Linked DNA regions of Lonchura striata. The protein of the gene in region 1 interacts with the protein of each later gene in a biochemical or structural test. Links are inferred from orthologs where the notes say so. Each region holds a gene or a part of one and is shown on either strand. Other genes may lie near its edges. The genes, in order: MAPT, SRC, MAPK11 and UBE2W.

Evidence for each region.
Region 2: the proteins of MAPT (region 1) and SRC form a complex in vitro, tested with the Homo sapiens proteins (3 studies listed by BioGRID and IntAct, with this or other methods). The link is inferred for Lonchura striata from reciprocal best matches to the Homo sapiens genes MAPT and SRC.
Region 3: of the proteins of MAPT (region 1) and MAPK11, one has a biochemical effect on the other in vitro, tested with the Homo sapiens proteins (2 studies listed by BioGRID). The link is inferred for Lonchura striata from reciprocal best matches to the Homo sapiens genes MAPT and MAPK11.
Region 4: the proteins of MAPT (region 1) and UBE2W are reported together in a solved structure, tested with the Homo sapiens proteins (2 studies listed by BioGRID, with this or other methods). The link is inferred for Lonchura striata from reciprocal best matches to the Homo sapiens genes MAPT and UBE2W.

What each region holds. Positions count from the first base shown.
Region 1 is NC_134627.1:8,748,520-8,756,492, reverse strand, and holds the start of MAPT (microtubule-associated protein tau), read right to left. Parts: upstream 3,011-7,973; 5' UTR 2,990-3,010; coding exon 2,944-2,989; intron 1,698-2,943; coding exon 1,611-1,697; intron 614-1,610; coding exon 527-613; intron 1-526. UniProt on the Homo sapiens protein: Promotes microtubule assembly and stability, and might be involved in the establishment and maintenance of neuronal polarity.
Region 2 is NC_134619.1:9,505,581-9,513,369, forward strand, and holds the start of SRC (proto-oncogene tyrosine-protein kinase Src), read right to left. Parts: upstream 3,010-7,789; 5' UTR 2,933-3,009; intron 1-2,932. UniProt on the Homo sapiens protein: Non-receptor protein tyrosine kinase which is activated following engagement of many different classes of cellular receptors including immune response receptors, integrins and other adhesion receptors, receptor protein tyrosine kinases, G protein-coupled receptors as well as cytokine receptors.
Region 3 is NC_134607.1:30,045,259-30,052,618, forward strand, and holds the start of MAPK11 (mitogen-activated protein kinase 11), read right to left. Parts: upstream 3,011-7,360; 5' UTR 2,945-3,010; coding exon 2,832-2,944; intron 1-2,831. UniProt on the Homo sapiens protein: Serine/threonine kinase which acts as an essential component of the MAP kinase signal transduction pathway.
Region 4 is NC_134603.1:32,205,208-32,212,745, reverse strand, and holds the start of UBE2W (ubiquitin-conjugating enzyme E2 W), read right to left. Parts: upstream 3,005-7,538; 5' UTR 2,977-3,004; coding exon 2,962-2,976; intron 1-2,961. UniProt on the Homo sapiens protein: Accepts ubiquitin from the E1 complex and catalyzes its covalent attachment to other proteins.

The DNA.
Region 1 (7,973 bases):
AGGCCCCATCCTTCCCTGGAAAACCAGGCCCAGGTGCAGTGGCTGCCCACAGGGCATTCAGGCTGAATTAGTCACTTCACTGGCTCTGCATCACCCTTAAAAGCACTGCTGCAGTGGCCTGGTTTCCACCTGCCACTCCAAAGACACCGCCAGGGCTGGGCAGAGCCCGGGGGCTGCAGGAGGCACCCAGGGGCTGCAGGAGGCACCCAGGGGCTGCTGGCACGGGAAGGACCCGGATCTGCAGAGAGGAGCCTGGAGGTGGGAGCCAAAGCCACCACAGAGACACCAGACAGAAGGATGGTCAGGTGTGGAGCAGAGAAAGAGAGAAGAAAAGGCTGCGAGTTCCCCCCAGGACGGGGAAGGCAAGAGGACAGCTCTGAGAGAGGAATTCTCCAGAGAAGAAGGAAGCAGGGCTGGGAGCAGCGTCCCTGCGAGAGGTTTCGTGGTGTTGCCTCACAACACCGACCAGTCCAGCTCTCTGCTCTGTCTGCAGCAAGAGATGAAGCTGCACCTTGGTCTCCCTCACCTGTGGTTCCTTCTGGGATCTCCCCGTGCTGTTCCGCACCACCCTGATCCTCGTGGTCTCCTTCCTCCACTAAAGGTGCTGTGGCATCTGCAAAACAACACGGCTTTCACACAGCTGCTGGGAGGCAAAGCCCTCTGCAGGCCTGGAGAACTTCCTGCCCGGAGAAGCCCTCGGCTCCCTCACGGCCAAGCACGGCTCCAAAGCCAGAGCCACAGGGACACCACGAGCTGGCCCCTGCCACACAACGCTCCCTACGCTTCTGCCCAAAAATCCACCACTAAATCCTGCACGGGGACACGGCTGCTGTGGAGCAGCACGCAGCAGCTCCCCTGGAGCTGCACGGAGCACCCCAAGTGGCTGCACCGTGCTCTGGGACGCAGGGACACCCAGCTCCACCTACCAGAGGGGTGGCTGCTCATCCTGCAGCCCCAGCCCGGCTGGAAAGCAGGACAAAATCCCCTCCTGCACCAGACAGGTTTTATGTCCTGATTTCTTGAGGCACTTTCCTGACAATCGCTCAGCCCACACCTCCAGCGGGACAGGGCTGGGACTGCTCAGCATCTCTGCCCACCCTTCCTTCCTTTCAGAACAATTTTGCAAGCTAAAGCCTCTACCTCAAGTCTCCAAAGGCAGATTCCTGGGATTAAAGCAGCCAGAGGAAGGCAAAAAGTGAAGGTAATTACAACAGTGAACAAGTCTCTAGACCACTCTGGAGTTAGAGCCTTTCTACCCACGAGGCAGTCAGGACCTGGGGAGCACAGACACAAACCTGTGCCACTCAACACAGCAGCTCCTGGCTGCTCTGCCAGGGCCCTGCAGTGCCCCTGTAAAGGCTGCAGGAAGCAAACCACCAGCAGCTTCCTGAGCTGCAAGGAACAATTCACCTTTCCTGCTTTGCAGCCCACTCTGCACCTCTGGGGCTCATTATCTCATTCTGCAGCACAGCCAACACCACTAGTGATGAGACTAACAAAGGGGTTCTCCTCCTGAGAAACCCCCAGGACACGGCACGGGGAGTCTGTGGCGAGGTTTACCACGACCCCGTCCAGCATGGTCCCAAAGCAGAAAGTCAAAGAGCTCCCACCTTCCGTAGTTGGGGTGCTCTTAGCGTCAGATGTTTCAGAAACAGGCTCATCCGATCCATCATCGACTGGTATCTGAAGGGGATAGCCTGGAAAACATTCACATACTTACAACAGGTCCTTGGCTAAGAGCTGGGGCCTGGGGGTTACCAGCTGTGATCCACAGCTGCAAGAAGCTGCAGCTGGAGAGTAAAACCACCTGAGCCAAGAGCAAGCAAAGCGTGGAAATGCCAACCAAAAGCACCAGTGTGAGCGCCGAAAGGAACAAATGGAAACCCACCAGCAAAAGAAAAGCCCAGTGAACCGGGCAGGCAGAAACAGCAAAGCATGGCACAAGCAGGCAAGGAGATCTCGGCAACGTAAGGAGGAAAGATGTGCAGCTTCTGAGCCCCTGTTGTCCTCTCCCTCCCAGAGCAGGCTGAGCACTCCCAGGACTGCAAACCAGCCCGTGTTTGTGACGGGGCTGCTGCAGGACAGCATTCTGTGCCAAGAAACCGTGGCAAAAGTCTTCTGGAAGAGCAGGGCAAGAGGCACAAGTCTCCTCTCAGCAAGGGTGCAGGCAAATCAAATAATGAGAGCTGGAAAAACTGATTTGGAAAAGAAGAAGTGAGATCCCTGAGAACCTGTGATGTTTCACAAGCTGAGAGGAGCTGCCGGACCGCAATGCGCTACTGGATGAATGGATGCTCTGGATTCTCTCCAGGACAGAGGCCATCCATTTATCTGCTTGAAGAGGTGTCCAAAGCACCTCAAGAAAAGGAAATTAAGATGATGTTTATATGGAGCACAGCCAGGAGTGAGTCCCCCCAGGTCTGCTGGGCGGTGCGGGTTTCCAAGCTCAGCTGTGGAGCACGGTGGAATGAGAAAGGAAAAGCTTCTGAAGAAATGCAGGTCTGAAATATGGTGAGGAAGACTCTAGCATGGCCCCCACGCCCAGAGCTCTCTGTTCAGTTCTCCCCAGGTCCCTGTGCAGGTGAGGAAGGCAGGCAGCAAGCAGCACCCTCGAGCTGTGACCCCAAATAAAAAGAAGTGCTGTGCTTTCTTAGCAAACTGAGGAGTGAACACAAACACACACTTGCAAAGCTGCAGCAGTGGGATCGCCCCTGGTCTGGGGTTCTTCTGCTCAGTGGGCAGCGAGATCCACGAGCAGCATTTCGCTGCCACCGTGCACGTGGAGCACCCCGTGGGCTCCCCGTGGTGCCCTGGCTGCAGCCAGCTGACCACAGTGTCCCTGCCAGGAGCCCTGGCACCACCAGCACCCCTGGCTGCTCTGCCTCTCCCCCTGCCTCAGCAGGGGCCCAGGCAGGTCCTCCACCCCGTCCTGGACGTGCTCACCTGATGAGAAGTGCTTTTCCTGGCCAGGTGCGTGATCCTCCATCATGGTGGTGTCCTGAGGCTGCTCTGCCACCTCTCAGCAAAGGTACCTGGAAAGGAGAGTAAAAACTAACACCCATTAGGCAAAACCTGTCACAGCAGCAGCAAAGGGAAGGTCTGGCCATTCCTGCACAGGCAAAAGCATGTGCCAGTCACTGCATCCCTCACAACAAACACAGAGGCACCTCCTGCCAGCTGCACTGAAATTCCACGGGTGTTTAAGATGTCCCAAGGAAAAAGAGCACCCTGGTGCACCCAGGACACTGCCCTGACACAGCTTCACCCCAGGAGCTCCCTGCGAGCAGCAGGCTGTGCTGACTGGCTCCTGGTGCTCCAAACTCTGCATTTCCCAGTTTAACCAGTCCCCCAAGAGATGCATTTGCTGGGGAGGTGTGATGCTGCTGTGGGAAGGGATCCTCCCCTCCCTGTGGAGACACCCAGCAGGGACACACATCTTCAAAGCCATCCGAAAGCGGCAGAGGGGGGACACCAGGCCTATCCACAGATGGATTTTGGACTCTCAGAGGAGAGGGTCTCGCTCAGCTGTGGCTGAGAGGGGACAGCACAGCCCCTGCTTTAACCCCAAACCCTTCCTGCAGGCTCAGAGAGCCTCACCACAGCACAGAGCCAAGCAAACAGGTCTGGGGTGGGAGCAGAAAGGTGCCAAACCTCCCAGCTGATTCTGCGAACTGCCTTGATCTGCGAGAGGAAATGAAGTCTCCAACAACCATTACCTGCCCCTGCTCCGCGCCGGGTGGACAGACAGTGCTTTCAGCTGCCTTCCTAAGAGCTGGTATGATTACAGCCATTGGCAGTGATTAATAATCAGCTTTTAGTGTGATCACATGCTTGCCGTGACCCTCAGGGCCCGCTGAATCCAGCAGTGGAGCTCAGGTTACCAGCAGCAAGGAGGAAACTTGTGGTTTTGTGTGCTGGCAATAAATTAACTGGATGTATGGAACCACACAAGAGAAACTCCAGGGCCAGTAACCAGATCTCTCAGCCAGCTTTTTTTAAGCCTTAGCAAGATGACTCTGCAATTTAATTACTGCCTTAGACAGCTACAAAGCCATTTGACAGCACTGGAGAACCAAGGAGGCTGGAGAGCTTGCACTGGAATGAAATCACCCACAAAAATGGAGGTATAAAATAAGAAAGAATTAAATACCTAATTTTTGCTCTAATTAGTGGGCCCTAATTATTTGGACATATGGCTGCCTTCCTCCTAGTGCTCAAAGGGTCATATTGATTACGTCAGGCCTTGCATTTCTCCGGGCATGCAGGGCTGCAGCCTGGGGAAGTCCCTGCATTTCTCCAGGATGCAGCCTGGGAAAGTCCCTGCATTTCTCTGGGCATGCAGGGCTGCAGCCTGGGAAAGTCCCTGCATTTCTCCGGGCATGCAGGGCTGCAGCCTGGGGTAGTCCCTGCATTTCTCCGGGATGCAGCCTGGGGTAGTCCCTGCATTTCTCCAGGATGCAGCCTGGGAAAGTCCCTGCATTTCTCCAGGATGCAGCCTGGGGAAGTCCCTGCATTTCTCCAGGATGCAGCCTGGGGTAGTCCCTGCATTTCTCCGGGATGCAGCCTGGGGTAGTCCCTGCATTTCTCCAGGATGCAGCCTGGGGTAGTCCCTGCATTTCTCCAGGATGCAGCGCTGCAGCCCCTGCGCTGCAGCAGTGCTGGGTTCAGCAGAGGCTGCTGCGGGCAGGGCTGCTGCTCACCTGCCTGCACTGCCAGCCAGTGCCAGGCTCTCCAGCACGAAGGAAGGGCCAGGGCTGTGCAGAGCACTGGGGTGCTGTGCCCTGCCCGTGCTGCCCAGGGACAGGCAGGGCCAGCCCCCACCCCCCCATGGCACCGCACGATGCAGCTCGGGGGGCTCGGGGGGATGCAGCCATCAATTTTTCAGAGACAGAGAGGAAGAGCTGCCTTCCTCTTACAGGGAAAAAAGCACGGCCAAAACATGGAGGTCCATCACTGAGACACTCAGGGGACCCTGGATCGCTCTGGAGAGCAGAAACATCTCCCAGCAGATGGAGCACAGCGTCCTCCTGCTGCTCCACGAGTGCCCTGGTGGGGAACAAAACCACCTGGCACCAGAGCCAAGAGACAGGGAGGGAGGAAAGCCTCAGCTTGGCCTTGGGTTTTCACTCAGGTCATGAATTCATGTGACCAAAGAGAATTTAAATCTTATTAAAATGACAGATTCTAGATTCGAATTCTCAAGGATGGAATGAAAATTCTGAAAGAAGTCCATAATGGTAATCCTCTTTGTTTTTCCTTTTGAGTGGGGGAAGGGGAAATCCCTCTCAGAGAAAAACATAACATCAAGGGGAAAAAAAAAATTCTAAAATATGCTTAAAAGTGTAAAACCAGCCCCGCCTTTAAGCAGTGGCTCAGTGATGCATAATTAGAGCAAAGAAAGCTGCACAGAGATAAACTTGAACAGCACCCTCTGCATGGCAGATAAAGCACAAACCCCCCAAAGAACCTTATCCATCCCCAGCAGAACTATTCTCCTTAACCAGGGACACTATCTAAAAAGCAACAGCCTATCCCATCATTAACAGCTCCTCCAAACCTCTCGTTTTCCAGACCTGAAGCCCTCCTGGTGTTGGGAGGGACCTCAAAGCCCATCCAGTGCCACCCTGCCGTGGCAGCAACGCCTCCCACTGTCCCAGAAAGTTGGGACAAGCCCCATCCAGCCTGGCCTTGGGCACTGCCAGGGATCCAGGGCAGCTGTGCCAGGGCCTGCCCGCCCTCCCAGGGAAGAGCATCCTCCTAATATCTACTCCAAACCTCCTCTCTCAGTTGGAATCCATTCCCCTGTCCCGTCGCTGCAGGTCCTTGGAAGTATTTCCCAGTGTTTCCCATTTTCTGCAGATGCTGGAAGGCCACACAAGGTCACCCCAGAGCTGCTCTTCGTCCCCAGCCCCACGTCCAGTCTGCAGCAGCGATTCCTGCCCGGCCACCAAAGAGGCACCAGGACTGGGCACAGCCAGAACAGCCCAGCAGCACAGCAGAGCCACCACCCTGCAGCCCCTGGGAACCCAAAAAACCCCACAGAAAGCCCCCAGCACCCTCTGCCCGGCAGGGCTCCGAGCCCACGCTAAGGCAGGCAGCCCAAACTCGCACACCTTTGGCCAAAAGTTTCTCTGCAGTGGAAGGGAGATAAACCCCAGGTGCAGCCCAGCTGAGAGCAAGGTGCCCCACGGAGGGCAGGGGCAGAGGGCAGAGCTGGGAGCACCCAGATGTGTAACCTGTGCCAGACATCTGGAACAGCCTCCCCCAGCCCTCCGTGCCAGGCTCCGAGTGGGGCACGGCGGGCACGGCCCCGGGAGCAGAGCAGGGACCAGCCCGGGGTCACAAGGCTGGAGCAGAGGCTCGATTTACACAGCCCAGCCCAAAATAAACCCGGCCTTGGCAGCAAACACAAAAAGGAACACTGCAGCAGGACAGTGCAGGCCTGCAGAGATGCTGGCTGGGTTTGGGACCCAGCGAGCCCAACCGAGCAGCTCCACCCTTCATGCCAGCCACAGGATAACCCCAAAATACCCAAATGATCACCCAGGTAACTCCCAAGCCTCCTGGCTATTGTCTCCTGCTCAGCATCTTCCTTCCCCGTTATTTAATCAGAAAGGGCACAAAGCACTCGCTCTTGTTGTTAAAAATGAAAATTCAACAAACACGAGCTAAGTGTTACCTCTGAAAGGTGATCAAACACAACCAGGGCTTTAAAAAAGCATCATTCCATCTGAATTGCATAATTAAAACAGAGTGACAGCACCGTGAAACAACATCAGCCTGAAAGGCTCTTCATAATTCATGAGCAACTTCCTTTTCATCTCCTTTGTGTACTTCTCCAAGTAGTGTTTTTCCCAGAAGTTGACAGAGGAAGGAATATGGACGATGATCTCATTAATTGCAGGCACTAATATGCAGCGAGCTGAGAAATTACATGGAATTTCAGGCTATCTAGTCAAGAGGACAGAAAACTTCTTTGAGGTTCAAAGACAGATAAATGCCTCTTGGAGCAATAGGACAGAGTTGCAAAAGAAACTGCCTCCAAAATGCATGCTTCCTTTTTTCTTTTTATGATTTTCCTATATTTATTATAGTTTAAGTAACTCCTTGAAGGTCTAAACTTTTGCCCCTTTCCCCAAGAGCTGGACACTGTTCAGAGAGACATGAGATGGGTTTGGGCTCAGAGCAGAGCAGCTTTTGGGGCACAGGAGTCTCATCACTCACGCTGGACATCCATTCCTCAGAGTCCCTCTCAGACCCTGCAGAACCTGCCCACGGCCAGGGGACACCACGGGGATCTCCAGAGCAGGCTCCCGGCCAGAGAAAACCCAAGGAACACTCACTTGCATCCTGCTAAGTTCCTCAGGGTTGCTGAGAATTAAACTAACAGAATTTGCCATCCCAAATCAGCTTAGGCCCAGTTCAGCAGCTGCCTCGGAGCAGGGCAGCAATTAGAGACCAGATTATCCAGCACAAAACCCCAGCCCACGGCCTGAGCTGCAGGAGTGGGGAGTGCGTTTGTCTGCAAGATAAAATAACTGTGCCCAAATAAAACAACTGTGACCTGCTCCACCTTCACCTCACCCGAAACCTGAGCAGCTCCATTCCCTCCTGCAGCATCTCCAGGCACGAAATGGATCTTCCTTCCTTGATTTTCTTCTTCATTTCCTCCTCACTTCTGGCCAGGCTCACCCCACGAGGCCAGCGCAGACCCCAGCCCTCCCCGTGAGCTCTCGGAGGGCGTTTCAGGGTGCCCACAGCCAGGGAGGTGCTGCCCCCCAGATCACCCAGCTCATTCCATAACATGATGCAAAACTCAGGCTGCCCCTAAGTCCACTAACTTCAGCCAGATTAGGGCTCTGAGCAGAGGGGCTTAGGTGGCAGCAGAAGAGGAAGCAGCAGCGGTTTGAAAGGCTGCCCTGAGTGCTCAGCAGGCTCTTTGCAGAGAGGGGAGAGAAGCCTCTTTGGCAGGG
Region 2 (7,789 bases), on another chromosome or scaffold:
GATAGGCTTTCCAATTTCCCACAGCCGTGCCAGGAGTCCAGTGCTTTGTCCCAGGGATGCCCTGCTTAGACATGCTGGGAGGAGGTGCAAGCTGTTTGCTTGCTCCTACCTCTTCTCTTTCAAGATCTTACAGGCGTTTGCTGGTTGTTTAAATGAGAGGCTGGAGACCAAGTCCTTCAGGTCTCATTAGATAAGAGTTTAGCTCTGTGATGACTTCAAAGGCCGGGCAGGATCCCACACCAGTAACAGGGAGAGACAGATGGGATTTTGAAGACGTGAGAGTCCCATGGTCCATCCCCTGCTTGCCTCAGTGAGTCCAGTGAAATGATGCTGGTTTGCAGGACCTGCCCGTGCTGCTAAAGGCCAACCTTGTCTCAGGATAGCTGATGTCCCCTCCATGCCACCAAGACAGAAGAGGACCCTCTTGTCTTTGCAGCAGAGCCACCACACTGGTTGGTCACCGCAGCGTTCTCCTCGTCTCATCCCCTGCTCCCCAGCCAGGGGCTGGGATGGCCCTTTCTGCCTCCCCTCGGAACCTCCCTGATTTTCCATCACTCTGGCACAAAGTCATTAAAGGGCAGAGCTATCATTAGGGCATCTCCATCACACAGGGAGCACTGCAAGGCCACTAACGATCGAGACAGGGAACATTGGACTTCCCTTTGCTGCTGCTGCTGTGTAGCCCATAAATAATCCTGTCTTGGGCTGTTTTGGTGAAGCCAGGAGGTGTTTAGAGGAGCCCCTGCCCTGCTGCTCCCAGGTCAAAGCTTGGAAGTGAGAATTGACCCTCGTCTCCTAAGCAAAGGTGTTCCTTCGTGATATATCAGCATTAACTGGCTAATGATTACAGAGACACAGCACACAAGCCTCGGCTCAGACACCGAGTGCCACGGTTTTGCTCTGGGTGGATCTGGAGCCAGCTGAAGCTGATGGCTTAGCACAGGTAAGCTCTATGGCAAAGGTGTCTAGAGCAGCCCAACAGTAAAAATAACAGAAAGGATATTTCTTTAAAGTGCAATATTGCTGATGTCATCCTCCATATCCCCTTCCTCACACCTTCCTGGGCAGCCCTGTGACTGTCTGACCAACACTTGCTGCACGGGGGACCTGGGCTCACATTGAGCCACTGGATTCTGAGGGGCATCTCCAAGTCTAGCAGGGACAAAAGGATTCCCATCACTAATGGCTGGATCTTGGGAAGGTTCGTCACGACTCGGTTCTTGCACTGGTCATGCTGGCAGTGGGTATCTCCTTGGCTGAGAGGAGAGCAACAAAGACCCCCAGCACCTCCTCCTCTGGGAGCACCAGATGGGCAGGAGAAAGAAAAATCAAGTCTTTTGTTACTGCCTTCATGCAGTTTCATAGAGCACTGCTGGATATGTTCTGTGCTGCACAGGCAGGAGCTCACCTCAGGGAACCCTGTGCTCTGCACCCTCCACTGCCCCCAGCTCCTAATGCCCCTGTCTTGTGGGACACCTGGCTGCATGTCACATCATGTCCCTTCCATTGCGTCACTTCTGGGGAGCCAGAGGATGGGCCATGGCACACACAGGGAAGCACAACCTGCTCCCTGCCACCTACAACCTTTACTGCTGCTCAACATCTCTGGGACTGGGACCAGGACCACAGTCACCTCCTGGCACCAAGTCCAGGGCTGAGCCCTGGCACACCACAGCAGCCACTGGGGTGAGGAAATGCCAGAGGAGAGTGCACTGTGCAGGGCACAGGGAGGTGGAGCAGATCCCCACTCAGTCCAGCAGGTCTCACACGAGACTGCTCTGCTCCCTGACATGATGCCCGACACCAGAGAGGACCATGCCAGGATCAGTGCCACAAGATGCCAGCCCCCTACCACACCTGTCCCCGTGCACATAGCCCTGTGCAGCAGTTCCATCCCTGCAGGTTGCCTCCTGTGTCCATCCCAAGTGGCCCCAGGATGCAGCACAGCCTCTCTGGGCAGTGAGCAGGATAAAACCTCATCCTGACCCCAGTGTGGCTCAGGGCAAAGCCCACGGTGCTCTTCCATGGCACTGGGGGCTGTGACAGTGGGAACACACCACTGCCACCACTTGCAGCCACGCATGGGGGCCGGATTGCCCAGGCTGCAACGAGGAACTTCCCGACTGGATGAAGTCTTAAATCGGAGAAACCAGAGCTCTGCAGCCCCCCAGCAACTGAGCCAGGCGGGCACAGGAGGGGCACAGCGAGGGGCACAGCGAGGGGCACAGGAGGGGCACGACTTGCCAGGTCCACCAGGGCTGGACACTGGCCCCAGAATCACCGGTGAACAAACACAACAAGGGAAGCGGATCACGAGACATCAAAGCAGGGGGGCGATGAATATTTCATGTCCTGGCCTACATACAGCCCAGCTGTCCCCGCCCTGCGCTCCCGGGGGTCCCCCACAGCCCCCGAGCACAACAAAGGGGAGTTGCAGGCAGGCGGGGCCGCCCCGCCGGACCCCCGCGCCCCCAGCTCTGCCCCGCCAGGCAGTGCCACCCCCAGCCGGACCCACGGCTGACCCACCACACCATGTGCATCCCGCTGGACCCACAGCCGCCCCACTGACACCCGGCGCCAGACCGCCAGCATCCTTGCGGGGATCCGCAGGCAGCGTATCCCACGCTGCCGGACCCACAGCTGCCCCACGGCAGCCTGGGCAGGCTCGGCTGGACCCACCGCCTCCTTGCCGAAGTGCCAGCATCCCCGATCGGACCCACAGCCGCGCCACCGCGGGCAATTCCCCGCCGACCCGCCGGACTGCTCTGCGGGCATCCCATTGCGGGCATCGCCCCGCCGCCCCGCCGCTCCCCACTGCGGACATCCACGGGCAGACCCTGGGCATCCCCCGCCGGATCCACGGCCGGACCCAGGCACCCCCCGCCGGACCCCGCCGCCTGCCCCCGAGCTGGGCAGCCCCGCCGCCGCTCACCTCCGCCTGGCCGCGGACGGGGCCGCCCCGCCGCTCGCCTCCAGCGCTCGGCCCCGGCTTTGTCTCCGCGCCGGGGGCGCGGCCGCCGCCCCCCGCCGCCGCCGCCGCCGCCGCCGCCGCGCTCGGTGCCCGCGCCGCCCCGCGCCGGGCCGGGCTCAGCGCTGCGCCGCCGGCAGCAGCATCGCGCAGCGCCGCGGCCCCGGCGCGCTGGTGCCTCGCCCGCCCCCGCTCACCCCGTCTGCGGGGCGGGGGGCAGCACCACGGGGAGGGGAAAATAAAAAAAAAATAAAAAAAATAAAAGAGTAATATGGCAGCAAACCGGAAACGGAGGATGGGGGGAAAGGCAGCAGCAGCCCCTCCCCTCCCTCCGTGGCTTTTTTTTTTTTCCAGGGAGAAGGCTCCGGGCAGCCGGGCTCCGCGGGGCGCGCACGGGCCAGGGGCCGCCCCCGCCGCCGGCGCTGCCGGCGCGTCCCGGCCCGCGGCGGGGGAACCGCCTGGCTGCGCCGGGGACACGCGTGGGAGCGGCGGCCGCGGTCCTCAGGGCGCGTCCCCCCGCGGGTGAGGGGCTGGGGGTGCTCCCACCCGAGCCCAGCGCTGCTCGTCCCGGCGGGCTGGCTCGGCGTGTTACCTGGAAGCAGGAGCTGGTAACACAAAAGTGATTTTCAGGAGGCTGAAACCTCCTGGCTGGGTTGCGGTTCGCTTTATTCAACAGCTCTAACACACGGCGAATTGCAGGGGAAATGCTGTTTTGTCAGGTTGTGTTCCTCCCCATCCCCAGGAGGGACACCTCGGCTTCCCAGAGGGCTGCAACCCACGTTCCCCCTTCTCTGAAGTCGGAAGGAGGCAAAACTTCAGATGGAAAAGCGGGCAAAGATAAACCACGTCCTGGGCCTCCCTGGGAACCCGGGGAACTTTGTGGGGCCCTTTGGAGGCAGCACGGGCACGCAGCGGTGTCTGTGCTCCGCTGGGGCGTCCATGGGTTTAGGGGTTAACATCTCCCAGCCCCGGTCGCCCCTGAAGCCGGTGCCGGATCCAAAACAAGGCAGAACGGAGCTGCGGGTGTTCCTGGGGAGGGCACTCTCCAGCTGGCAGCATCACCCCCTCAGGTGTGTGTGTCCCCGAGTTCCACTCAGGCAGGTGGGCACGCGGGAACAGTTCCACCCGTCGTTCCCCTTGCTCCTCAGCAGCAGGAGGTGGGAAATGCCCAGCTTTGCCCTGTCTCCGGGGTGCACACACGGGCTCAGGGCTCAGCCGGGTGCCCCGATGCCTGCACCCAGCCCGTCGGGGCTGCCCGACCAGCTCAGCGGCGCTGGCAGCCCTCCCACCTCAGCCACCGGCGATCCATTGAAGTGTTCCCTGTCACGTTACCCTCCAGGAAGAAAGGGGGTGAAGCAGTCCACTCCTTAAACCCACATACATTTAGGTCTTTTATGCGGCACGCTCGGCTGCTGGCCGGCTGCAGCGACCCTTGTATTTCCACAGCCAGCACCACCTCTGCCATCCTTGCCCACCCCTCCGACCAACCCTGCAGCCACTCCGCGGGGGTTTTCTGAAAACCCTCCTTCCTCTGAGGAAGATCCGACATTTCAGAAACAAATTGGGAAGTTAAAAACTTTTAAAGAACTATGGTGGTGATGTTTTTTTTTTTTTTAAATTTCTGTTTCCCACTCCCCCTCCGCCTTTTGAGTTATTAAAAAAATATTTCCCATGACACTGGCGAAGGCCAGCGAATCCATGAGTCACCAGGAACAAGGAGTCATGCACGCGCCGATCCATCACCCGTGGCCAGCGCATTGCGAGGGGCCCTTCCCTGGGAGGAGCTGGCGCCGATAAGGTCCCTCCAGCCGGGCAGGAGCCGCTTTCCCTCTCGGCTCCGTCCCAGGGCTGGGCGAGGCCGCCCGGGCTCCCCGGACACCCGTGGCGTGTGTGCTCCGGGGGGGTGGCAGCCCTGCCTGCTCCGTGCCGGAGCATCCCACCGCAGCCCGCTTGGTTCCGGGGCTCGGGGGTGTTAATTCTCAGCCCAGCCCCTCTGCTGTTCAGCTGTGGAGGGGAGGATTCCTCATCCGCTCTGCGATGGATTCACCCCGTGCTGTGGGGCAGTCAGGGAACTGCTCTGCTTGTAACGTGGGGGAAAGAGGGGGTCACCTTCACCCTGCTGCGCCGCACAGGGACACGGGGACACTCCCCTGTCCCTCCCCACGGCAGGAGCACCCACTCCAGCCCGGAGCTCTGCCGGAGGGGAGAGCACCCCGCGGGTGCTCCAGCCCCGGGCGAGCCGGTGAGGATGACTCAGCCTCTGCTGGATCCAGACCCAAATCTAAGATGCAATTGTGACTTATAAATATTTGTATTTTGTTTTTCTCTTTTGCAATCAACTTCTTTTCTCCAGGCTGTCCTCCCAATCGGAGTTCCCATCTCTGGCGGTGCCGGCCCATGGCTGGAAGGCAAACACCCACAGCGCTGTGCCTTTCAACAGCCAGACCAAGTCCACGACACAACCTCTTCTTCTTCCTCTAAGATGATGCCAATGTGAAAATCCAAAATTACAAACAGACACTGTCTAAACCCAGACTCTTATCTTTTGGTCTCAAATGCTGGAATGTGCCCTCACAAGGCTGACATTAAACACGAATTGCTGGTGATAGTGTGATTTAAGACCATTTAAGCAACACAGCTCACCTCAGGACACTCCTGGCTCGGACATGAGGTCTGGAGCCTGATATCCCCTGGCCACCCACTTCCCTTTGCCTCCTGCCTCTCTCCAAATACTTATCTTTAAGCAGTCTAATGCAAATTGATGCTTTTTTCACCCAACCAGGGATTTCAGTCTCTTGTCCGAAACTTATTTTCTTGATATGATTCTTCACTTTTAAATAGCGCTGATAAAACCCACCCCAGAGAGAGGAAGCGGGTTATAGAAACTGAAAACCAGGTACTTTCAATCTGAACAAAAAGTAGCACCAAGTATTTCCAGTGGCTCGATTATTACAGGACGTCTTGAAATGATACTTGAAAAAGAAATTAAGACATGCTCAGGTATTTCTGTGTTTTCTTGCTGACCTTTACACGAGTTTCATCAGCAACAAGAAGAATGAGAGTTACTGTGGGCAGATGCTGTCATGCTCATGAGTAAGTAAGTAAGTACGTGGCTCCTTCCCTTCCAGGTGTGCAGATCAAACTGCTCCACAGGGCTCCTAAAATCCTCCTGTGAGGTAAGAGGGTGCTCGTTGTGTCCAGTATTTGATCTGAGCCCTGAGCTCCCTAACGTAACTGCAGATTTACAACAAAACATCTATTCATCTCCAGCCAGCTTTATTTTTAAGCATCCCCTTGGCACGCGTGAATAAGTTTTGTCTATTGGATTCTGTTCCTGAGGCTGCACTTTGTTCACTGCAAATTGCAAATACAGTTGCAGGAATTATTACTATTAGTAATGTAATGGTTGTGTTTGAGATGCTGGCCTGAGAGAGAGGCAGCCGTGGCTCTTGCCCTGAGATTTTATGATCATTGAGCTTTACAGCCCTGCAAATAGTGGTGTGAGATGGGAAATGATCAGCACCATCAGCCCTGTTAGGGAAGCTGCAGTTTCAAGCTCAGGAGCTGATTTAGTAAGGGGGATTGACCAGAATAACCCTGCAGCACGAGCCATTTGGCAATATTTCATGCTAGAAATGCTCATTTTGGCCATTCTCTCCCACACTGAGCATCAGAGCTGCAGGAGCCGAGCAGCATCTTGCAGGTTATAGGAAAAAGGTTTATCTGAGAAGAAATTACCAGGAGGACTCAGGACCTGTTGTGTCCCCCATCGTGGTGACAATCTGCTATGCAAAAGGGGCCCTTAGCTCCTGTCAGGAAGTGTCATTGCAAAATTCCCTGGGGGAAAGGGCTGCAGGGGAAACCACTGACTCGGTGACATGCAAATATTTAATAAGGAGGCACTGAGTTCAACAGCTGTGGGCTGAAATTATCTGCATGGTCAATAAAGGCACAACATTTCCTGTCAGGTTTATGACTGATAAAATATGCTTTGGTACAATCTGAATTAAGTATCTTGGAAAAGCTCGTTTGGGCAAAAATCTGACTCGTTTTGCTTCTTGCCTCAGCTCAGCATGAAAGCCACACACAAGATGTTGGCATCTCCCAGCATGGAAATTCTGCTTTTTGGCCAGTCTAGTATCCATAGACAAGGGCAATTCAGAAAAACTCAGGGAAGCTCATGCAGACGAGATTTATTGCCCTGCTTCTGGCTTGATTTGGTAGCAGAGCAATAGGGGACAGCTGGTTGGTGCAGAGCTCTGGTAGCCACCTCCAGGAGACCCTGCCCCAGGGCTGGGATGTTCCCTCCCTGCCAGCACCCGGCTGCTTGCTGGCCTGCCTGCAGCCTGAGCAGGCAGAGCAGGAGCAGACACCAGGGTGTTTCCCCTTAATCATCCAGTCTTGGTCCTTGGAGCGAGGGATGGGCGAAGGAGGCCACAGTCTGAATCTGGAAAACTTAAACCATGTGATGTTTGGATCCCAGCTCAGTTTAAAACAAGTTAAGTGAGGGGGGAGGTAGGGATGAGAACTGCTTGCAGCTTTTCTCAAAATCTGCTCCTCCTGCCCAGGCCTGACACTGGGGGATATCTGCTTCACCAAAGGAGCCACCACAGCATCACAAGCAGCTGCTCTGTGGAACCACAGCCATGAGGACCCTCTCCTGCACACAGCCCTGCAGCTGCAGTGTTGGGCAAGAGCTGCCCTCAGGGAGCCAGAGGGATGCCACCCCACAAGCTCCCCACCAGCAGCACAGCCCCAGCATGGATCCTGCCCGTGCAGCCAGAGCTGAGGCACAAATAACAGCAGGAAACGTCTGGAGCT
Region 3 (7,360 bases), on another chromosome or scaffold:
TACAGGAGCTTGAATGGCCATAGGGAAAAGTTCAGGCAAAAGAAAGTCTTGCACAGAGCTAAAGCACAAGAGTAACATAAAAAGTAGTTCAAGGATTAACTGCTTGAGGGAAAGACCTCACAGTTCTCTCTGTGATTCACCTAGATGCTAAGGTGCAACTCCACTTTGCAGTGCAGCTGCAAAAAACCAAATGTTCTTTGTAATATGTCATTAAAATACTGACAAAAGAAGTAGAGCTCTTTATACAAAGGATGATTTGGGTTTATACCTAATACCTATTCCACATCTAAATAAAAAACAAAAAAACCACCAAACAGGAATGCACTGTGCTTGGTACAGATATATCTCTACAAGTGAATCATCTGTTTTAAACCAGTAGTATCTGTCTCCATAGCATATTTGATGCATCCGCAACTAACTCAAACACAAATTCTACTGGACACATGAAATGCCAAAAAATTGGGCCAAAACACAGCCTCCTGACACAAACTGCTCTACTGGTTTTGAGCTGCCAGCAAAAGATGCTTAAATGCAAGTATTTACAGTATGTTTCTTATTATCAGTTATCAATTCAGTTATCCAAGTCTACGGGCTATGACAAATAATTTACTGTGAAAAAAGAAAAGGGTAGGCCTAGAGAAGAGTTTCACTGAGGTAGAAAAAATTTGTTACAACAACTCTCTTCTCATTTCAAAGCCAGCGTTTGGAGTTCAGGACCTTGGCTGCTATTCATTAAAGCACTTAAGAATTTGTTTAATTCTAGTAGTTTCTGTAAGACTTGGATATGTTTTTAGATATTTTACTGAATAGGAGTACAACTATTCACAGAAGCAATATAGCATATTACTCAAGGGAATGGCTGCATCTCGTAGGTCTCTTGGGTAAAGCATATGCACACAGACAGAAAAAAAAATCAATTTCAATAGACTCTAAAAATAGATGGCTTTTCTCAGAGAGATGCATACCTTTTCCTCATATTCAAGCTTCTGTTTGGGTTTATACTTCATTGATGTTAACAAGGCTATTAATATAGAGCAATGTTTTATTGCTATATTCTATTTTTAAATGTCTATTTTAGAGTAAACCTTTCTCATAGCATGTTCCAGTTTCCATTTTACATCTTCATATCCTAGGCTTTGCAATTGATAAAAATTACTAGGATTTCCTTGGCTGTGCAGTTTCAAAAACCAAAGCACCAGCTGTGCTGCAAGTGAACCACGACATGTTTTCACTTCGTTTGCAATTTCTCAAAAGTCTTGACATCTCATTATAAAATTCAGTAAAGTAGGTCTTTCCCTCAAAACTATGTCAGCATAAATAGGGAAAGTAACCAGAAATTCAGTTTCAATTGGAACACAGAAGTAGTTACTCTGCTACTGTATATCCATCCAGGCTTTTAGTTTACTTTCTCCTCTTTCACAAACTAAGATTTTTATAGTGTAAATAAATTTAGTCGTTGTGGAACTATTCCCAGCATCTGCTCGGAATAGTTAGCACATGCTAACTACAATGCCAGGTATGACACTCACATGGTATTGGCCTAGACCTCCCTGGTGCAAGCATAAATTAGAAATAATAAAAAAAGATAAGAATCCAAAGATACTTCACACCAGTTCTGAGTGTTTCTGCTGATAGTTGAAGGTTTTTTAAAAATGCATGTTCCTAGTTTATGTGCAAACTTGGACATTTTACAGAGCTAGAGAATGAAGTAACTAATACAAAACTCCATAAATGTTCTCTGGTATCTGACTAGAAAAAGTGAGAACTACTGCATGAGCTTAGAGCATGGCAAAACCCAAAGTTTTAAATAATTTTTTTTAGTATTTTTATTTAAAGTAGTACTTGCATTTAAAGGCCCTTTACGGATTGTTTTACATATTTCCACTCGCCCAGCTTACAAAAGAAACACGACTCTTTCTCAAAACCCCTTAAACGCCACTATTATTTCCGAAAATTGACTCAAAGCTTTTATAAGCATAGTAAAGTGTGCATCAAATACTAAAGTAACAGCCCAGCCTTCACTGGGAGTTCCCGAGAGTGCAAGGCTGACGTAAGAATTATCAAAGAAAGATAAACGCTCTATGACAACATGTGGCAAACCCTTCTAAATCCTGAAGACGCCGAAGCCCTTGGGAGGCAATCTGTCCTAATTTGCGACTCCCGCCCCGAAAGCACCGGGTGAGCACCCCGTCCTCCCCCTCAGCCTGCCCGCCGGGGGCTGCTCCCATTGTCTCGGCGGACAGGGAGAGCGCTCCCCGCCGCGGATGTCCCGCTCCAGCCCCGGCTGGAAGGGCCGCGGCCGCCGGGGATCCCTCCCGGCCAGCGGCGGACCCCGCTCGGACAGCCCTGCCGCAGCCCGTCCTCCCCGCTCGGAACCGCCATGACTGTGCAGGATTCCCGGCTTCGGGGCAACTCTCCCTCCGGCGGGAGCAGCACCAGCCGGCAGCGGCCCCGCGGCGGGCGGTCACTCGGAGCTGCCGGCCCGGGGAGCGGCCCGGCGGCGGCGCGGAGCGGAGCTCGGGGGTCGGCCCGGGGCAGCGGCCGGAGGGCGGGCAGGGGCGCCCCGGGCGGCGGGCGCGGTTGCCCGGGTGACAGCGCGGCATGCCCGGCCCCGCGGGGCCGCCGGCCGGGGCAGCGGGGCGGGAGCTCCGGCGCCGCTCACGCCGGTGCCCGGCGGACACGCCCCCGCCCCGCTGCCGCCGCCGGCCCCGCCGCTGCCCGCACACCACCCTCGGCGCGGCGCCGGGGCTCCCGCCTGCCCCGCATTGTCCTCGCCGCCCGCCGCCTGCACCTGCCGGCTCCCGGCCCCTCTGCCGCCGCCCCGCACCTACCAGACGGAACCGTAGGCGCCGGAGCCGACGGGGGTGAGGTTCTGGTAGCGCTGGGGCACCTCCCACACCGTCTTGTTGAGCTCCTGCCGGTAGAAGCCGCCGCGCTCGGACATTTTCGCGGAGCCGCCGGCAGCAGCGGCAGCAGCAGCAGCAGCAGCCGCCCCTCAGTCGAGGCTGCACGGCCGGCGCCGGCGGGGAGGAGGGACCGGGAGGGGAAGGGGAGGGGAAGGCGGAGGCCGAAGGGGTGGGGGCAGCGGCCAGGGCCGGGGGAACCCGGGTGGGGATGAGGAGGGGGATTGACGAAGGGGCTAGGATTCCCGGGGCGGCTCCCGGTGTCTTTCCGCGGGGCCGCCCAGGGGGTTGCGGGGAGTGGCGAAGCGGCGATCCCGCCCCGGAGCATCGCAGCCGGGGCGGTGACGGACCGGAGCGGCGGCCTCGCCGCATCGGCCGCCCCTGCCCGAATGTGCGGGAAGCGCCCGCGCCGCCGCCTCTGCTCCCCGCGGGGACGGGCGGACCCGGCCATCCCGCCCTTCGCCTGGTGTCTCAGGCTTTCTAAAGCCTTGCTGACACCTTTCTTACTTTGCTACGGCCACCTGAAGTTCCTTCTGGGCCCGCCAGGATCCCCCCTTCCCCGGCTGGAGCTGCAGCACCAGCGGCGGTGACCCTGCGCCAGTGCGGCCCCCCCGCTCACTGATGGAGCCCCGGGCAGGTCGGGGGTTTTCTCGGAGTCCTCTGGTACCTAAAATTTCCCCTTACCGCATTGACTCCCGCATGCAATCATCTGAGTCCTCTTCATCAAGTAAGACTCGAGCCCTCAAGACAACCGATAATCCTGAAAGCTCTAAAAGTCCAAAATTCATGCACCAGTTAAAGGTTCTCTGACTTTTTTACTGTGTGTTTTAGTCTCTCCAAAATACCTTATACAATATCTTGATGAGCTCCAAAATCATTGCAGCACTACTGCAATGCTACCAGTTTATTTCTTTATGTATTGTTTCTTTCTATGGCTTCTTATGCTTCTTTGATCATCTGTAAGTAACTTGTACATAGCCTGTTTGCATAGATTCACTGTACTGGGATTGCCTTACACTGCCTTTTAATCACTGTGGAATATAAATCCTTGCTTTTCAGGACCCTCATATACTATGGAGGGTTTGCTTTGGCAAATTGGTGTTCAGTTTGTGCTAGGACATAATGTTAGTGTAGAGAACACGTATGCTTCAATAGTTGTGAGCATGATGAGACAGAAGACAAGTGTTATGGGTGCTCCAAACACCGGATGGTTCAAGTTCCAGCTCTGAAACCTCAGCCCATGTTGCATGACAAGGCTTCCATACTAGGACTGTTCAAGTGAACAGCACCAGCAACTTGGCATTTGCTGGGTGCATTTCAAATAAAAAAAATACACAAATGGTACTACTGTAGCCATTTATCTGCAGCCATCCACTCAAAAAGTACTAAGTGCTCCTAAAGCAATAGTCTAGTTCTCACTTCTAACCCCCTACAGTGCAGACCTCTCCAGTTCTCTCCAGACTGCTTCTTGGTCCCGCTTGAATTTCTATGCTGAGGGCATAGTGCTTGAAGAAAGTGAAAAGTGTAAAAAAATCCAACAATACATTAATTTATCTTATTTTTCTGAGCACCACTCTATGGAGTTTTAAAAACAGAGTAACAGTGCAGTGACACTTCACCAAGCCAAGAAGAAATGTTTCTGTCACTGCCATCCCCAGTCCTACTTGCTCTTAAAGTAAGTGGCCCCAAATGTTTTCCATTGCTAAAATGGAACAAATACTCCTACTTCTTGACTTTTATTGTACTTTGTCTCTAGGGGTGTTTTGGTGTATTAAATTATTTCTTTCTAACTGTAGCCATGATTTTTGGAAGTTGCATCTGTACATGTCTATCCAAGCTTTTAATTGTGCAATTTCCACAGGAATTTATTTTTAATACTATTGGTTAATATTGGTAAATGTTTACAGTTGGTCTCAATTTTCTCTCTCTGTCACTTTCTGTCAGTTATTTGTGTTGCAGTCATGACTCTTAGACTGTGCTTGATATCGTTTTATTTGATGCTACGTATATGGTCTTCTACTGTGTTTAATGAGGGAGATAATGGAAAACATCAAGATGCAAAGACTGTGAGTTGTCTCAGAGTTAGGTAGGTTCCAGGCCTCCAGAAGCCTCCCATAAAGCAAGCTCTGACAGCTGCCTTTCCCATGGCAGAATCAGCTCATCCATCTTTGCCATCTCTGTGAAGGAAGAGGAAGAGGCAGAGACAGCTCCCTTGTCAGCTGGATTCTTCTCTTTTAGTTGCAGTTTTACAGGAGGTGTGAAGGCATGAAGAAAAGATAAGGTCACAGCTTCTGTACATACGTTGCCTTCTTAGGAACTTTCAATGTCTGTGAAATGTCTGTTACATAAAACTGAGCCTGAAGCTGTGTTGGGACTCCCACGGACAGGGAGAGCCCGTGAAACTACTGTGGACACTGCACACCCTCCCCTCCTTGCCCTGACGGCATCCTCACCAGGGCAAGGGCTGATGGCTGAAGTGCAGTGGGCAGTGAGAATCACTGCCCTTCACATAGGGCACAGGGCTGGGAGGGGCACCCATGTGCTGCAGTGGGGAAGCTGAGGCACCCAGGCAATTTGTGGGGTGGGATCAGCTGTGTGATCCTCTGGCTGGTGAGGGAGCCCTGGATTCAGGCATGCAGAGGCTGTGTCCCCGGGCAGGGTGGGATGCAGTCCCTCAGACACACAGCAAATCTAGCAGGTACCAAAGGAAGAAAACTTGCTGGCAGAGCACTAACTTTCTTGGGGCTCTTCTCCCACTGCATACTCAAACCCTACATTACTCTCATTAGAATAAACCTCAGTGAAAACAAAGGAATTTATTATTTTGGCCAGTTGTGAGTTACTAATTTCCAGTTGTTCCTAATTCCTATTTTTTTGAGTTGGACTTGATGATCCTGATGGGTCCCTTCCAACTCAGTCTATTCTATGATTTTCCCTACATTCTTTGTTTGATGTATTGCAGAAAGCTTGCACATCTTTCCTACCCTCCTCCAGGCTCCTTTCAATTATCATTTATTCTCTGTCTCTCGTTCTGTTTTTATATTCCATTTAGAATTTTCAAATTTAATATATAATGGAGTTCAAAGATTGTGATTTTCATACTAACAATAAACGTGAAAACTCAATGAAAGAAAATGCCAACTTAGTACTGAAAACATAAAATTTCCTAGTGGAAAACATCATAATATTACTGTAAACTCAGCACTGATTTTAAAAAGACTTTGAAAAACATAGAACAGACTGCAGATCAGAGGTCAGACCATTCTCAATACAATTGCTGTGAATATAGGATAGTTCTAACTAAAAATCTACCAAGTATTACTGAGGTTTTACGATGAACCGCCGTGGTTTTTTGCTATATCTGTTACGTACTTAACTTTGTATTTGGGGGATGTCCATTAATGGATTTCACCTGAAGTTAATAACAGTAAACTAAACATAGTAATGCTGTGAAGGTGCTTCCTTTCTTTTGAAAATGTAGGGTATATGTAACATCTTCATAAAAGAAAGATTTATTTTTATTATATTTTTGTTAATTTTTATATTTTTAATATTTTTATTATTTATTTATTGGTTTTATTTGCAGGCTCTTGTGAATTTCTGAAACTACATCTACAAATATATAATTATAACATAGGAAAGCTGCCACTGTTTGTAATGCCTGAAAGACAAAGTACAGACATCAGGAAAGGCTAAATGAAGCCCTTAGTAAATAGCAAGTCAATCATTACCTACTCCAAACACATTGGTTTCCATAAGATTGCTTTGCCAGGGACCATGTATCTTTGTGGCTGAATCACAAGACACTTGTTGCCCATGAAATTCTCTTTCGTATTTCTGCTATTAACTCACTGTTGCCAAATGCCTCTTTGGAAGGCTTCATAGCACCCAAGTTGATTCAGATGACCTGCTCCAGCCTGAGACTATTTTGTCCTGTTAGGTCTTAGATATTTAAACTGGAAAAGCATTTTTTTTATCTTAAGAGAACATGAAGGGTCTTGCATTGGAGAAAACAGTTAAAATTTAGTTACTCATTTTGAACCTCAAGTTCAAAGTCCAAGGCATTTCATACCTATAATGAGGTGTGAAGTCAAATGAGAAATCCTGCTATTGATTGAGGACTTTAAAATCTGGGTTAAATCCTAGTAATTATATGGCAAGAATAGGTTTCTATTCTTTCTGAGAAGAGAGATTCTAATATGGCTTGAGTTCAGAGCTCAGGCTTCGCTTCCTTTCTTTCCACATTCTTTCTCTGTGGAATTAGGATGGCCACTAGATATCTCTGTGATTGTAATAACACTTGCACTAGCTATGTTTATTGTTTGCAGACATTGATAACAATTTTTCACATATGCCTATCATACTGCTGTGGATGCAAGGTGGGAAATATTTTATAATATCCTGTTAAAAATGTAATTCTGACCAAAAAAAAAAATCAGTGTCCTTTACCTGAAATT
Region 4 (7,538 bases), on another chromosome or scaffold:
TACTAAAGATGCTATATCAAAATTTTCTAAAGCAAATCCATTCTATTCCCTTGTTCTACATTACTTGTACCTTTTCAGAATATTTCTGTGTTTTTATCCAGGAAAACATAGCACATGCTTGGGCTTTTTCTGGGAAAATTCTTGAAAATAAGTGCTCTTCCTTTAAAGGCTTGTCTAAGGTGTGTTAGCTTTTTTTAAGAAAAAATATGATTTGCCTAAAGTTATGCAAACCAGGTTTAAACCAGTCCAGCAGTGGCAAATTAGCAACAACACTGTGGTTAGAAAACAAAACACAAGGTCTCATAAGCATTGGCTTCTACTGTCACGGAAAAAAAGGGTTACAGAAAACTCCCATTACAGATTGTCCACACAGATAAAAATCACTGTAAGTTTAATGATACATACAAAGACTCAGAGTCACAAATTACTGTGCATCCACTGAACTGCAGTAACTGTTCAGGTTGCTGCTCAGAGCCATCAGCAAAGAGGCAATTTATTACAAGTTTCAAAGCTTCACTGAAGACTGACTAAGAACAGGCTAATCAGATAACTCTTGTAACTTAATCTGAGACTTTTCTGTGAATCTGTTAAAATAAATGTAATTAACTTGGGGCATCATACACTGTTGTATAAAATTACAGCAGTGTAAGAAGCAATTAGAACTTACTTTGTGCACCAGTGTATCATTTTTATCAATAAAATAAATAATATTGTCATAATAGTACAGTGTCACACCACTAGCAGAGCCAGAGATGGCAATGAGTTTCACAAACGTTTCAGGTAAACACTGTGTATTTAAAAACACTATACTTAATCAGAAATATGACATCTTTTTGTTGTGTCAAGTAACTTAGTACACAGCAGTAATTATAATAAATGATTCTGGACCAAAAAAAAAAAAAACCACTTAAAATTATAGATATTGGTTTCCTTTGTAAAACATTTTTTTACACTGAACACTTAAATGTTAATTGACAGAATTCAGTCTTGAAATCTTGGTCATCTGGGAGCATGTCTACAATAAACTTACTAAATTTAGTAAGTTCACTTACTAAATTTGCATTTATGCTTCCAGTTTACAACTCCTTTCCAACATGCTAAACTACATTATTAAATTAGCAGATTACTAAACATCAGAAATTTATTAGAGCATTATGCAATTAGCAACATACAGACAAAAAATCTCCATAAATGTCCTTGAATCTCTTATCAAAAGACAACAGAACATCACGTAAGAAAACAAAAAGTGCCATCTTACAGCTGGTATTTCTAAAATGAATGCAATTACAACATCAGACTTAACAGGGTGTATTTCAGGAAGTGAGTATTACCCTCCACACATCTGACGTTTAGACAACACTTGTCATTCCTGTATCCTCAACAACCTCATTTAATATGTAACCATTTTTCTCCCTTTACAGAGGGAGCAACAGGAATTAGGGTGAGGCACGCTGTAGAAGGTCATTTACCAGGCCAGAGACAGCAACACAGCACAGCTCTGCCAAGTCCCTTTACAGCGTGCCTCTTTCCCGGTTCACAGCTGCCATTTTCCTACTTTTCACACGGTTTTTTAAAGGACACTTCTTAAGAAACTACAGCCTCTATTTTGCAGTTGAGCTTGTAAAAGTTTGTACATTAGAAGAAGAGCATTGCAAAAATGCATTTGACAGATAGAGCTAATAAAACCAAGGCACATCAGACTACCTGCTAAGCTACTGCTAAAAGAACATTCTGTACAGTACGTTCAATTTCTAGATCTCGTTTCATTTCAGTAACTGTGAAAGACACACCAAGGAATGGGGGGAGGAAGGGGGAGTTATGCTTCTAAACTTCAGGAGAATAATTTTTATCCCATACAGTTCAATAATTTGACATTTAAATCCTTTTTGGCTATGCTAAATCCAGCTTATTATGAAAATTAAACAAATTTCACTCATTTTATACACTCTTTCCATGCTGTTCTATTACTAGTGACAAAAAATGTAAGCTGTACTGGACCAAAATGAGATCTAGATGATTCAAATATAAAAACAAAATGGAAAACTATAAATATCCGAGAAAAAGTAGAGAAGTTACTGGTTAAATAAGGAGAGAAAGGGGCCACTGCCACAAAACCTAGAGCTCTTTTCTCCTGCCCCAGTCATAATAAAGCATTACCCACTGAAAGCAGCACAGTGAAAGCGATCCATTCTACCAGAGAAATTTCTGCAGCCCCTGTTTAAGAACCCCTTCGGAGTAGGTATGAATGAATAATTCAGCTGGAAATACCTGTCAGGCAGCAGGATGTTCCATCCTACTGTACCTACAGCAATACCATCCGGCCGAGAAAGCCAGACGGTACCTGTCCCCAGAGCTGACCCCACACCGCAACCTCATTTTACGGAGAGAAAGAGAACCCCACGGGCAGCAGGCGGCTTGGAGCAGGACGTGCCTGTCCCAGTCCCCCTCGTGCGGGGGAATCGCAGGAGCTCAGGGCTGTTGGTCACGGTCCCACGCCGACACGGGGAGGGCCCCGCTGACCGCGCAGCCCGCACGGTGCCATACGTTCCCACGGCGCCCAGCGAATCCGCGGCCTCCCAAGTCCCGGGGGCCGGCATCCCTCCGCCCTTCCCTCGCCTGCCCAGGAAGCGGCGGCATCGCCCCTGACGCCTCCCTGAGGCGCCTCTTCCCCCGCGCCCCGGGCCCGCTGCCTCCCCCCGCGCCCGCCCCGCCCGAGTCCGGGCCTCGCCCCTCACACCTCTGCGCGCCTCGCCTCCATCCCGGCCCGTCCGCCGCCACCTGCCCTCCCCGGCCGCGCTGCCCGGGACCTCGCCGCTCTCAACCTCTGCCCGGGCGGTTCCTCCCTCCGCGCCGCGCCGCGCCGCGCCGCGCACGCACACACCCGGCGGAACGGCTGCTCCCGGCTCCCCGCGCCGCCGCCCGGCCCCGGCGCTGCCCCGGGCTCCGCCGCAGCCGCCTCACCTGCATCGACGCCATGATGGGTCCGCCTCCTCCCCCTCCCCTCCGCGCCGCCGCCGGGCCGGCCCCGCCCCGCGCGCTCCCCGGTCACGTGCCCGTGCCCGCCCGTTGGGCAGCCGCGCGTGCGCGGGGCGCGGGCGGGGCGCGGGCGGGGCGCGGGCGGGGCGCGGGCGGGGCGCGGGCGGCGCGGGCGGCGCGGGCGGGGCGCGGGCGGCCCCGAGGAGCGGGAGGGGCGCGGGCGGCGCGGGCGGCCCCGAGGAGCGGGAGCGGCGCGGGCGGGCGGTGTTTGTTTGCGAGCTGCCGGTCCCGCCGCCGGGGAGGCTGCCCCGGCGCTGCCCGTGCCCTGCTCGCCCTGCGGGAGCGGCGCGATGCCCATCACCGCCACCCGCGGGGCGGGAAGGGGTTGATCCCCAGCCCGCTTCAGTTTGTGAAGGTTTTTAGAGGTCCACGTGCAGTGTTTAAGTCACTCGGTTAAATTCGGACTGCGCCCGCCCGTCGTGTGGGTTTCTCCGGGCTTTCCCTGGTGCGAGTGCCATACAATCGTAGGACCATAGAATGTTAAGGAGCGGGGAGGGACTTAGAAGATCATCTAGATCCGACACCCCCGCCATAGGCAGGGACACCTCCCACCAGGCCAGGCTGCTCAGAGCCCTTCCAGCCTGGCTTCGAACGCTGCCCGGGATGGGGCATCCACGAGCCTCTTCTTCCAGTGCCTCACCACCCTCACAGTAAAGAATTTCCTCCCGATACCTAACCCAAATCCCTCTTCCTTCAGTGTGTGCCATTACTCCATGTCCTGTCACTGGACCCCGCCGCAGGTCGCCCCGGGCCGGCGCCGCGCTCCTTCTGTGCGCTCCCTGGTGCTGCTGTGCCACAGCTCATCTGGCTCTCCTGCACTGCTGTCTGCTCGTGTATGACTCCAAATGAACGTGGGTGTGCTTTAGGTCGGAGCGTTCCTGGGTTCTACGTTTTCATTTCCTGGACTGGAATAATCCCTGTCCTTTGCACCAGGTGATTTTGCCGTACCTGTGTAGGTGAAAATAAACAGGCAGCACTCAGTAGAGTGACTGTGTGCAATCAATAAATTAAACAACTTGTGGAAACACGCTTCGTAAAGCTGTTATTCCTGCTGGAGTATTTCAGACCTAACAGATCCTCAAGATAAACCTACAAAATGTTTATCCAAAAACAACCTATAAAATTTATAATCCCAGTGGTTATGTAAAACTAAGGATTTAATAGAGAAACTGATTTTAGAGGTCATTATAATCCCCGTCTCCCCACTGCTCATGCTGCACATTCCAAAAACACTGAAGCCCCTTCCTCTGCCCCTTCACCCCTCTCCTTTTCTGACAATGTTAAAAAATTCTTGGGTCACCTCTGCTCCAGTGGTAGCCCTGATTTTTTCTTCAGAGATGGACTGAGAAGCAAAAACCAAATTATTGAACAATTGTTTGCAGTTTGTACTACCTTTGAAATCTTCGTTAATTTTAGACCTCTAGAAGGGTTCTGCACCCAAAAGCCAGTCTGCCTTGTTCAACCATATTATTTAGTGTGATGCAAGTACTACCTTTACGTACAAGCTTTACCTTCTGGTAAGTTTTTAATATCCTTAACTTTGAAAATGGGTAACTGGAGGAAAAACAAAACCCCAGCACAACTTAGCATCAGTTTCCAACTTTTATCCAGTATCAACACTGTCATCGCTGTTAAAGTAAGCATACAAACTTTGGGGTTTGCTTAAAAGGCAGAACCCTTTAAGCAGAAGAAGACAGCAGGAGTATCTTTACCCTGTGAGATAGCTGCAGAAGTGAACAAGCCCCATGGCTTTGCAAGATTATGCTGAAGACCAAATCATTATTTGTTGATTTTTGAGTAGGAAAGGAAATTAGGCTACCAAAAGTAATGATGGGAAAAGTATAGTCATGTAAATTGCATCCTATACATTGTCTTGTCTTCCAAATCCAATTCTCATTTATAAATTATGGGCTCCTGATGCTATGCAACCTGACATTGCTCAGCCATGTTTTCCCTGGAAGTCAGTATGTATTACTATATGATTTTTGCAAGACCATTTAGGTTGCAGAGGATTTGTTGCATTAAGCAGACACATAGAGCTGGTAAAGGCTTCTCTTTCCTGCAGTTCTTCAGAATGAACTTAGGCTGTTACAGCACTTAAGTGGAACAGTTACTAGTTGTTGTTTTGCATGATGGAAACATATGTTTATCCTAAAATACATCTCTTAATGCCATATGCCACAAAGACAGCAAGAACATCAAGTTTAAGCAATGGACATGTGTTCAGTTATAAACATGGACATATTGACTATCTGTTTTGATGTACTCACAGCAAGATACAACTGATTTCAAACCATTATACTCAGTTTCTTACGCCTCTTCCAGAAAACCCTGTTGAAGGTCAGAAGATATAAAGCAGCATAAGCTTGTGAATGCCAGAACACTTAACAGACTGCAAGCTGGTTTTGCATGGAAAGATCAGCTTTGTGGTCTTAGGCAAACTGTATTCAGTACAAATATGATTTCTACTCTGTAATAAAGGAAAAGTATCTCTGGATAAAAAGCCATCTTTGCAAAAAAAAAAAAAATGTAAATCACAGCTTTTAACTGCCCTTATGCTCAATAAGTCTTTTTTATCTATCAGAGCTTTTCAATATTAAAAACAAGCTACTTACTAAGTTTTTTACTGAAGTATTCTTTACTGAGATTACTTAATCTATGCTGCAGATCCTGTTCCTGAGGATACTAGGCATGAAAAGCAAGGGCTAGTTTGCCCTGCATATAAATAGAGCATGAGTTAATTACTACCTACTCAATTTTAAGTGAGTATGTAAGTAATTAAAGCATTATGCTGCAGTTGAAACTCGTGGGCAGAATCCCACATCCCCAAATACACTTTGAGTTTATTCTTACAGGACTACCAAAGGTGTCTTTTATAACCATTGTCACATCTTGTTTTTTTTTAAAGTGTCATTAAATGCCTAATATATATGTGAAATATTTTTTTAGCTCCTTGTTGTTGTGGGAATAGGGGAATCTGGAGAATTATCCCTGTGTTTTATTGGGTTTTCCCCCTTTCCTCATTTCCTGGTAACCTTGCTTGCAGAGATGTTTTTGTACAATGCATAATGCTATAGGGATTAAGGAATCAGTCCCCTAAGCACAGTAAGAAAAGAAACACTATTATCAGACTCCCAGAAAGAATATATGAATATTAGTATCTTAAATTATCCTGTAATCCCACTAAGGAAAGGCCCTAATTCCCAGAGAGGGTAGATTTCACTAGGAGTAAGTTATTGTAATTTGGTTTTCATTTCAGTTTTGACCTTTACCTATGCAAAACATAGAAGAAAACATTTCTGTAGTTAACCCTTCCTAATCTGTTGCAGGTATAGAGATGGAAAGCACAATAACTGGTTTCTTAAAAGGATTGCTTTAGTATTTAGCTAATGCAGTCTGATCTTTCACCAGTCAACCCAAGTTTTGCCAGAGATTTCAAGGATCAGAGCTCTGGGTCCCAAATATTCAAAGCTTATGGGGTAAGAGAAATTTAATCTGTTATCTTAATTATTTCAGAGGCTATCTTACACTGATCTGATCAAATACATTATGACTCACATATCAAAAACATATGGAGCAAATAATGAAATTGTACCTCCTACTAATTTTTTTTTTGGTAAATATTATTGAAGTTGACCTAAAAATCCATTTTTCTTCAAAGTTTCCAAAACCCTATACTTACAGGAAAAATGCAACTAATGTTCAAACTGCATTTATTAGATAATTTTCTGATATACCAAGACAGTTTCAAAGAAGTAAAATATAATTCTTAATTAGGGTCCCTGTAATTTTACATTCTATTCCCATGTTGTCCATAATGTTTTCAAATATCACCAAACATTTTTCCCTCTGTTCTCACCCTTTTTATTTTTTCTGTATAATTTTTCTACACACTGAACTGTCACTACCATCTCCTTTATGAGTCCTGGTTCTAAAATGACACGAGAGATCAATTTCTTTTGCCTGTGTCCACTGTACTTTTTAGCTTTTCATCTTGTCTCCTTACACAGAAGTAAACTGTACATTGATGTTAACTCCCCTCATTACTTGAGTGGCATGACACTTGTAATCTGCAGTGCCAGGAGACTGCATCTCCTGAGCATGGAGAACTCCCTGCCCCTCAGGGGAATTGTGCCAACTGCTTCTTCTACTCCTACCTGCCAATTTAGGAAGGGCACTGAGTTTAAAAACTCTGTGGAATTAAGATCTTTGTATAAACAAGCTTGGTGCACCTGCAGATACCTTCAACTAAAGATGCAGAATCAAATCAATAGAATATTATATCAAGAATATAAAAGTAATACATTGCACACATAGCTAAAAATTAGAATAGCTTATTAAAACTAAATTCAAATGCAAGAGAACTTTTAGCTGTTGAGATTTTATTGTTGATTTATTCCTTAGTGATTACGTAGGTTTTTCATCAATAGTGTATTTAATTTTCATCTTAGTTCTCAATAGTAACAGGCAAAATGTCATTTCCATCCCAGGACTTTCAAAGG